Drosophila melanogaster: one gene and its partner. The protein of the gene in region 2 interacts with the protein of the main gene of each other region in a pairwise test. Each region holds a gene or a part of one and is shown on either strand. Other genes may lie near its edges.

What was found. Proteins that work in one complex are often made in the same cells at the same time.
Region 1: the proteins of CG13070 (region 2) and CG7290 interact in a two-hybrid assay, tested with the Drosophila melanogaster proteins (one large-scale study listed by BioGRID).

What each region holds. Positions count from the first base shown.
Region 1 is NT_037436.4:20,203,347-20,208,655, reverse strand, and holds CG7290 (uncharacterized protein), read left to right. Parts: upstream 1-2,609; 5' UTR 2,610-2,654; coding exon 2,655-2,658; intron 2,659-2,729; coding exon 2,730-3,985; 3' UTR 3,986-4,347; downstream 4,348-5,309. Other genes in the region: CG6996 (uncharacterized protein), read right to left, coding at 1-788, 1,028-1,031; CG7298 (uncharacterized protein), read left to right, coding at 5,054-5,060, 5,153-5,309.
Region 2 is NT_037436.4:16,261,276-16,265,641, reverse strand, and holds CG13070 (uncharacterized protein), read right to left. Parts: upstream 2,300-4,366; 5' UTR 2,271-2,299; coding exon 2,256-2,270; intron 2,015-2,255; coding exon 1,571-2,014; 3' UTR 1,491-1,570; downstream 1-1,490. Other genes in the region: CG13069 (uncharacterized protein), read right to left, coding at 1-212; CG13051 (uncharacterized protein), read left to right, coding at 577-828; CG13071 (uncharacterized protein), read right to left, coding at 2,522-2,719, 2,794-2,805; CG34247 (uncharacterized protein), read left to right, coding at 4,066-4,074, 4,143-4,366.

The DNA.
Region 1 (5,309 bases), 3.9 Mb from region 2:
GGATCGCGGGACACAGGCTCCGCCATCGGTGGCCAGGAAAAATCTTCCATCGGAGCAGACGCCATGCTCCAGCGAGAACTCTCCATTGCCCAAATCCTTGCAGTAGTAGTAGCCATTGCAGGTCTTGTTATCCGATATAAATCCACCCGTCTCTGGACATACACCCTTCTTGCTAATATCTGGCACTGGGACGAAGTCACACTCCACATTCTGCGGATAATCGCACTGGGCCGTGGAGGCCTTGAAGTAGAAGGTGCCCGGACAGGTTCCATTGATCACCTGGCCATCCCAGCACAACTGATAGCCATTGCAGTTGTCCGTGTCCTTGACGAAGACCCCATCCGGCAAGATGTTGCAATAGCTATCCGGGTCCATTTTATTCGAGCACGGAAAATCGCGGATGCAGTCCTGCGTTCCCGAATTGAAATTCATCCCAGTGTTGCACACTCCGTGCGTCCCCTTGCCATCCTTGCAATAGTAATAACCATTGCAGGAGTACGGATCAGCCGCGAATCCGGTGGGCAGAGCAGCGCACGGATCACTGGACAGACACTTGATACTACTGGAACTCAGGCATTTCTGGCTCTCCCGGTCGTAGAAGAGTCCAGTCGCACAGCTACCACTCACAGGGCTCCCATCGATGCACTGAATCCACGCGTTGCACGCCCGAGGATCGTTCATCTTGGTTCCGTTGACCACCAAGCTACATATTAGAGTTGCATTGAAGGTCAGGGCGCCTGATATCGTGGGGATCATGATGAGTCCGGAAATGAAGGCGAGCTTTGTGTCTGTTTTGCATAAAAGGGTATAAGTACGATATTCGAAATAAGTTGCAAGTGAAGTATGCTTTCAATTTCGATTTAAATTGCATATTTTTTTTTCAATAAATGTTTGAGTTTTCGTTATGAACTTCTTGAGCCTAAGTCTACGGTTTTCTATATTTATATCTGTCTATGAAATGGTAATTCTTCTCGAAACAACAATATAGTTACTTCGATGGATATCTGCTAGTGCCAGAGATACTCACCCATCTCGAGTTCAGCAAACTTTTAGTATTCCAAAGATACAAGTACCTCTTAACGGCTAACGAGGAAAAGAACGTCTAACTGGATGCCATCCAAGTTCGCCAATAAATACAAATCGAAAGACAATGCTTATGCCCTCGCTACTTTTGGGTTTTCCGAAAGGTCTGTAAATTTTGGAAGCTCTAAGTTAGTCTAGAACTGTCTTCAGTGGCTAAAATGGACGCATGACGTATTCATATTTCACTTTTATCAGATTCGGTTAAATCCAAATTTGACAAGTGATAAACTTGGCCAACGCCGGTGCGCAGTTCATTTAAAACCCAATTTGTTTTTATTTTTGTCAACTTGTGCGGTCATACCTTTGGTTTTTTGGTAGTATTCGTTGTCGAATTCGTATCCGCTTGTTTATAATTACTATCTTTAGATTGGGTCTAATTTAATTTATTACACATATAGTAATTAACTTTATTTCAAAATCAAATGTTATTATGTTTATCGCCTGCGATCTGCTGACTCAGGTGCACACGACATTATGCTATTAATAGTCCACGATGACCGATTCTTACTGACATACATACTTATTGAGATTACTGTTTAAAATTATACATTATTGTGAAATTATTTACGATTAAACTAACTTTATGAAATAATCTGCCGATCGTCGGTTTTAATTGTACCTGATAGTCGTAGAGTAAATGAGTGTACAGAGTGTTCGTTGAAAGGAAAGATACTATTGTATAAGAATATAGAAGATTGATGTGAAAATTACTTGGTGTATAGGTATGCTACAACAAGTAAACCACATATAAAAAATCTAGTGTCCTTGAACTCCCTTCAAATGAGTACTGAGTATCTTAAAGTCGAGGAACTACACTAGCTTACTTGTTTTTTTAAAGTCAATTGGGCTTTACCACATAAGTCCAACTTTTCTGTTCCGATAGTAACAAATATGTCTAGGAATCGCCACAATTAGTCAATATTATTAAAAACAAAGTGTGTGGGTTTTGCCATATAATATGTAGGTAATTTTAAGCTAATTTAGATTACTCTAATCTCATTTCGTTTAATTGATTTGTTTGAAAAAAAAAATAGAAAGGACCATATTTGGAGAACTTCTTGATATGGTACTACTTGAATTATATAATTCGGTAAAAAACTCATTCAAATTTAATCAAGTATATACATTTGGTTAAACAATTATAACAATTATAAAGTCGTTAGCTTTAAAATGCGAACTCTGTTATAAGTTTAGAGCACGATGTAATTCTTTATTGCTCTTTTATTTACACATTAACTTTTTAATATTCCAATTATAGAAACGCAGTCTAAAAAATACATTTGAGTTAATAAAAAGAACCCAAATTTCTATCCGTCTGAGTTCTGGGAAAGTTCTTATCCCCACAAAAACTTTGTTGACTTGTCAAAATGGCCATCGATCATGCAAAAATGGTTCGTTGGCTTCGCTTGCGATACATCACAAAATGGGTTCCTGAGCTGAAGGGTCGTCGATCAACTTGGACAGCCCAGCGGATCGAAGATAACTCCTGGCTGGACTGCAAATAAAAGCCCAGGAAGTCCATCAACCAGAAACAGTATTCAACTAGGAGCCACCAAAAGAAGAAGCAAATAATGGGTGGGTATCGCATATAAAAGTTCGAAACAGGAAAAATTGGAACATCATATGAATATATTCAACGCTTCCAGGTGGACAAAAAGCAACCATCCTCGCTGCCGTGGCGCTGGTGATCGCCTGTGCCGCTCCAGCAATAGCCGATGTGAATGTCACCGCCTTGTGCCTGCTGGTCAGCAATGGGAACTACGTGGCCAGCCAGTCGGACTGCTCGACCTACTACCAGTGCCAGGGATCCTCGTTCACGGCCATGTCCTGTCCCCAGGGCTACTACTTCGACAAGAATGCCCAGCAGTGCACGGGCACTGTGCCGAGCACCTGCACCAGCAACTCCGATCCCTGTCTGGGCAAGGCGGTGGGATCCTTCGCGGCATCCAGTTCGTCCTGCGGCGGCTACTACTACTGCGGAGCCTCCGGCGCTGTGAGGGGCAATTGTCCTGCCGGCGAGAACTTCAATCCCACCACAATGGCCTGTGTGTACAAGAACAACTATCCATGCAGCGAGTCCGCCGGTGATGGCTCCACTGTGTCGGTCGCCCTCAACCTATGCAATCTTGTCAAGAATGGCTTTTACTTTGGAAGCCCTTCCGACTGCAGTGGCTGGAACTTCTGCCAGGACAACGTTCTGCACTCGGGATCCTGCGAAGATGGTCTAGTATTCAATGTGCAGGCCAGCAACTGCGGCTACAAGATGGCCTCATCCTGCGCCCAGGTCACCAATGATCCATCCCTGACCGGAGTGTCTGCTCCGACCACATGCTCCTCGTCGGGAGCAACGATCGCAGCCACCGCGTGCAACCAGTACTACCTGTGCTCCGCCGGCAACTATCAGCTGATGACCTGCCCCTCGGGATACTACTATGATACCATCTCGAAGGCGTGTGTGACCAGGATGGAAGCGAGGAACGACTGCGACAGATGTGTGGGCACCACTGCGACCTTTGTAAACGCCTACTCGGCAACCAATTGCTCTGATTACCTATACTGCGTGAACGGCGTTCAGAAGGCCGTGGAGAGCTGCCCCACCAACTACTACTTCAACGAGAACCTCGGATCCTGCGTAAACGGGTTGGAGCCCAAGTTCCTCTGCTGCAATCCCACGCAAAGCGATGGAACTTCGACGTCTTCCTCTGGTTCGACTTCCTCGGGCTCGACTTCCTCCGGATCGACTTCCTCTGGGTCAACTTCCTCCGGCTCGACTTCCTCTGGCTCGACTTCCTCGGGCTCGACTTCCTCTGGCTCGACTTCCTCGGGCTCGACTTCCTCCGGCTCGACTTCCTCTGGAACTTCATCCACAACCTCTACTGGAACAAGTTCAGACAAAAAATAATTTAAATAGCATTTATGCCAAAAATAATAAATACAAATCAAGTTTGGCAACTCAATTAAAAGTATCCACCCAAGTTATTCGCACAGTAATAGGGTATATGAAGTAAAGTGTTCTAAAAAGGATATATATTCTTAATTCGGATAGGAAATCGGCAAATAAAAGAGCTAAAATGCCCAAAAAACTGTCACCAAATGCGACAAGAATAAAGGAAAATTTCCATCGACGTACAGAAGATCCAAGGAAATACCATCAACACTTTATTGACCCCATATGGCAGGGCAATAAAGCCGAAATTAAAGATTGCCTGAGCGAAAAGTTTTTCATCGCCAAACAAGTTTTACTGGGCAGCGTCAACGCCATACAAAAGCGATAAGAGTCCATTCAATTTAAGGTGTAGCTGTTAAAGTTACATAATATACATACATTATACATATAACAAATTTAAACCATTTGCTAGAAAAAGTTCTTATTTAAATGAATAGCATTAATTAGGGTAAAATATTATATTATTTTTAAGAAAGGGTCGTTTTCTATTGCACAACATTATCCCGATTAAAAGACCTTGATTTGATTAATCTTACAACACTATCGAATGAAAACCCCACTTTTCAGTTATTGTACAACACTAGGCTTAACTACACGATGTTTTACTTTCCAAGGTAGACCTACACCATTGATAAGGATGTGGCTGCGTCAGTTGTTTGTTTTTTTTTTTTTTTTTTATTATTAAGTTGCGGAACAGATAGAAATAATGACAGATAAAGAGCTACTTAGTGGTTAATACAACTATACTTTAATTAAAATCGGTTAAATAACACCCCGAAAAGATGTTCAGCGTCTATCTGGTGGAATAAATAAAAAATGGAACAATGTTTCACTGTCTATAATTCCTGAGAATAGCTGGGCTTATCTACATTCAATTTACGATCTCGATGGCCAAGTTCGAATCGTAGACCTATAAAAACCAGGCAATGGGAAAACTCCACCATCAGTCTTCGACAACCTTTCATTGGCCGATACAAGTGGTATTCGATCCCCAACAGCGGCAAAAAGTATTACCAACTAACGATGACAGGCAAGTGTTTCGCATGGGATATGATCTGTGGTCTATGGTCGAATAAACACCAGGAGTTTCGCTAATTGATTTGCGTGATTTCTGGCTTGCAGGCAAACTTCTACTGGCCACGATCCTGTGCCTAATGGGCGGCCAAGCCTTGGGCGATGCGATTCTGGAAGGAAACTACAACGTTACGGCCGTCTGCACGGCGGTTAAGGTCGGAACGCAGCTGGGCAGCATCGAATCCTGCCAGACGTACTACGTCTG
Region 2 (4,366 bases):
GCGACGTAGGGAGAAGCCACGTAGGGAGAAGCCACATAGGGAGATGCCACGTAGGGAGCCGCAAAATTTCCGTGGTATTCCCGGCTGTAAACCGCAGCCGCCGGAGCAGCAGCCACCAGAGGTGCGGAGTAGGCCAGAGGAGCCACGATTCCGGGCTTGGCGGCCACGCAGGCAATCAGTGCGAAGAGGGCGACGGCGAAGAACTTGAACATCTTGGTGGATTTGGCTGTTTGGATTTGCGGGCAAACGAAACTGATGACAACTGCTGGATGAACACGGCGTTTTATACCCAAACGACCACCCACAATTAGCCTTGGCACTTAAGCTTTCTTGGCCCACCAATTTAATTAGCCAAAGTACCCGCAATCGTACCTAAATCCGTTCGCAGTAGCCAACTGCGAATGGTACGTGACTGGCCTGAGCAACATAATTGTGTTTTTCGGCCGGGAGACCTTGCAAGGTCGCTAGCCATTCGGCTGTGGGGCTATAAAAGCCACAAGTCTGGACTGTTTAAGACATCAGTTGCATTTGTTCAATCCGACAAGTAAAACCAAACAAAAAACCAAACCTACCAAGATGTTCAAGTTCGTCGCCGCCGTCATCTTCGCTCTGTTTGCCTGCGTGGCCGCCAAGCCCGGAATCGTGGCTCCTCTGGCCTACTCCGCCCCCTACGTGGCGTCTCCATATGTGGCATCTCCCTACGTGGCATCCCCCTACGTGGCTGCCCCCTACACCGCTGCCTACACCGCTGCCTACGCCGCCCCCTACACCACCGCCTACACTGCTCCCTATGCCGCCTACACCTCTCCTCTGCTCCTGAAGAAGTAGATTCCCGGAAGGATGATCAACTTAAGAGGATAGCACACGGACACTTGCAATGAAACTGAAATAAACTCGCAAACAAACGAACATATTTGTCTTTTACTCGGAAAATGGGGTTTACTGGGAGCTGAAGAGGAACTTCGAAATTCCATTTATATATAGTTTACTATGCATATTATACTATACTTGAAGAGAAGTCATATCCAATAATGCATAATAAGCAATATGGTATCAAATACAAGTATTTGTATTATTAACTCAGTAAATGTATAAGCAACTCAGTAAACTATTTCCACGATACATTTTCAACCAACTGATACTCTACTCTAATTAAATGTTCACAAACAGCTTCTTGGAATCGCCTCATAAGCAGTGAAACGACTATCTGCATTACCATTTACAACTAATTTCCAAGTGGACAAAAAGTGTTGGGTTTGCCATGACCAGGGGCAAACTATTAATAATTACAGATAATTATCCTTGGGGTACACACATGTCGAGCGGCGTGCAGCAATTTCATTCCGGGTAAAACACACTAAGCTTAGACAATGCAACGTGCGGCGTTTAAAATTAGACATCGTGGCGTATACGTAATCTGCGGCAAATCAAAAACAGATCCAAACCAATTCGAACAAAGAGTTTGCATTTATTGTGTGTTATATAAAAATAATTTTAATTCGAATTATATTGCCATGGCCCAGCCCAGAAGTATGTTATCATCTGGCCATTGATTTAGCCCAGCGGATTGTTAACCCTTAGTCCAGCCATTGTAGTTAACCAGACTCCGACTCTTGCTGAAACTGATGCTATTGAACACTCCCAGGTTGGCTGACCAGCCCAGGGTGAATGTAATGTTACCAAAGGGGTCAAGAACCACCACGGGCTTCTGGTTTTTCTGGTGGTTCTTTTTGGCATTGCTCTGCAGTTGGTTGAATGCACTGTACAGGGAAGACGATGGATTCTGCACGAATTCTTGAACTCCGATAATAAATTTGTTTACTTCTCGAAAAAAATCATTGGGCTTGAATAGCTTGGCGGGGTCTTCGATGAACTGAATCCCTTCAATCCGTTCTGGTTCCTGGTAAAATGAATCCTCTGCCAAGTTAAAGCTGCGGGCTACTTGAGTTGGCATGAGGAAATATATCGGTTGAAACCAAGCCACGTTCATCAAAACGAACCAAATCGAAATCAACTGTAAAATAATCCCACTTTCAGTATGTTTTAAGCATTTTAAGTCAAGTATTTGAACTATTTGCCCACTAACTATATTTTTAACGATTTTTAAGAAATATGTTTGTTTAAGCTCAAAAGAGTACATGGGCATGATTCATTGTTCTAAAAAAAAAAGTACTTAAGGTTTCAAAAGAACAAAAGAACAACTTCATAATTCATAAAAAAATTGTAGTGCCCAGAATGTCTGTAAGTGTACTTACAGCAATCATGTCCATCGTGAATCTGAACGATAACTAAGCCAAAGAAAGACAACAACGTTGGCTTAAATACCCCATAGAATGGAGTCTACCCCTCCTTCTCAAAAAAAATTATTATGACACATAAATTTCAGACCAATTTCAGAACTTTATTTGAGGCATGTCCGTCAAAGAGATGGCTAAACTCCGTGTGAACTTGAGTTGAGCTTCGGGCGACAGGTGCTCTGGCGGCCGAGTCTTGAGGACGCCTATTTGTGAGATGGCTCCTCCTAGATCCAGCCATATCCACGGCCATGACCGTATCCTCCGTAGCTGATGGGATGCACAACGCTGTGCGAGGTGGTCCAAATGGGCTGGATCACGCGCACCGAGGGCAGACTGTGGTACGAGCTGGTCAGGATGGGCGAGGAGTGCAGGTAACCAGGAGCGGCATAGCTCAAAGCCAGACAGAAGGCGAGGAATACGAACTGGAGGCGGGAAGAGTTGCTCACTTAATTAACTTTTTTCATTCGGAGGACAGGACAGGACAGGATATCCTTACCAGCTTGAACATTTTGAAGCGGTTTTGATTGCTGAAGAACTTCTGGAACGCAAAACTCAAAGTGGAACTCGTTGAGAAGCTGCCAAAAGATGGTTTGATGGCTGGTTGAATGTGATGCCTGGTTTTTATAACCCAGCCGCCAAAGCCAAGAAGCCCCAGCAATCGCGCGACCTTGGTCAGATATTCAAAACCCAAGAGTCTCTTTGAAATCTTAGCGGACGCGGAATGCTCAGGTTTCCCTGAGCTTAGGTGAGTGACTGGCTGCAGTTGCCCACCCACCGAAAATTGCATCACTAATGCAATGGTGATGCCATGAAATACGCACCGCAAAAGATCAACGAAAAAAATAAATTTGCGGAAACTGCGCAATTTTTTAGGCAAATAACAAATCAACAAATATTTAGCCGAATAACACAGTTCGAACAATATACTTACTTAATTGATTTCGGCGTGGGAGTTTGTTTTCATTGCTACGAAGACAAAAGGAAACATGGCCATTTCTCGACACCACCCGCAACCCACCACTGACCTTGAAAGCCTCCCGATGGAAGGCGGGAAAACACCGGAAGTGCGTCTCAATCCAGGACGCACTTAATTGTTTATTTTGGGGCCAAGAGCAAGACGCAATCCAAATCGATGGAAGTAAACAGACGTCAAAGAGATGCCTACATTTGAGCCTCAGCGAAAATAGAACGTACTTACACACTAAAAGGGGATGTCCCTAATTGATTGAGGATAAATAAAAATAAAATTAGGATGAGTTTATAGGTTAAGGTTTCTAAAATTAATTGCTAGAATAGCACACAAATCAATAATTACGAATATATAACATAGAAATCGATCCGAATGCAACAAGTCAATTATAAAATGTGTGTATTTGTTTTCTAGCACATTCTATCCTAATTATCATGCATTTTACGGGGAAAGGCAAATCTTTGTAGCAAGTTGGAAGGAGGACTTCTCTGCCGTTCTAGAACCCAAGAGGCATTTGTGGTTTCACTGGCTTGTCAGCGGACTCACGACCATCCGATTCACATCTGGATTCTGAGTGGCAGGGAACGAGTTCCGCTGGCAATTGCAATTGCAACTGGCCCATTCAAAGTGAGTTAAGGGCTTCTTTCATTTGCCGCTTGCTGGGCAAATGCCTTTGACCTTGGCCACCAGCCAAAGTGAAGGTCTGAATGCGATTGGGAGCAGCTATAAAAGCCTGGAGTAGCGTGGAATGGCTATTCAGTTGGATAGGTGATCTTCAAGGAACTGCAACGAGCGAAAATGAAGCTGGTGAGATCGGAAAACTCTTCTATATAACTTTGCATATATATATTTAACCAATTTAATTGATCTAACAGCTGATCTTTGCCTGTTTGCTTGCTCTGGCTTTGGGGCACGAGGTGTATTACTATACCCCCAGCTATGGGTACTACCCCAGTACCTTTGCCAGGTCCTCGGCTGTCCTGCCCTTGGCCTATTCCCGTTTGATTGCCCCGGCAGCCGCCGAATCGCATCTTTACCACAGCGTGGAGACCCCGAACTCCTTCCAGCAGCAATATCGCAGCGACTACAAGCCCCTGAC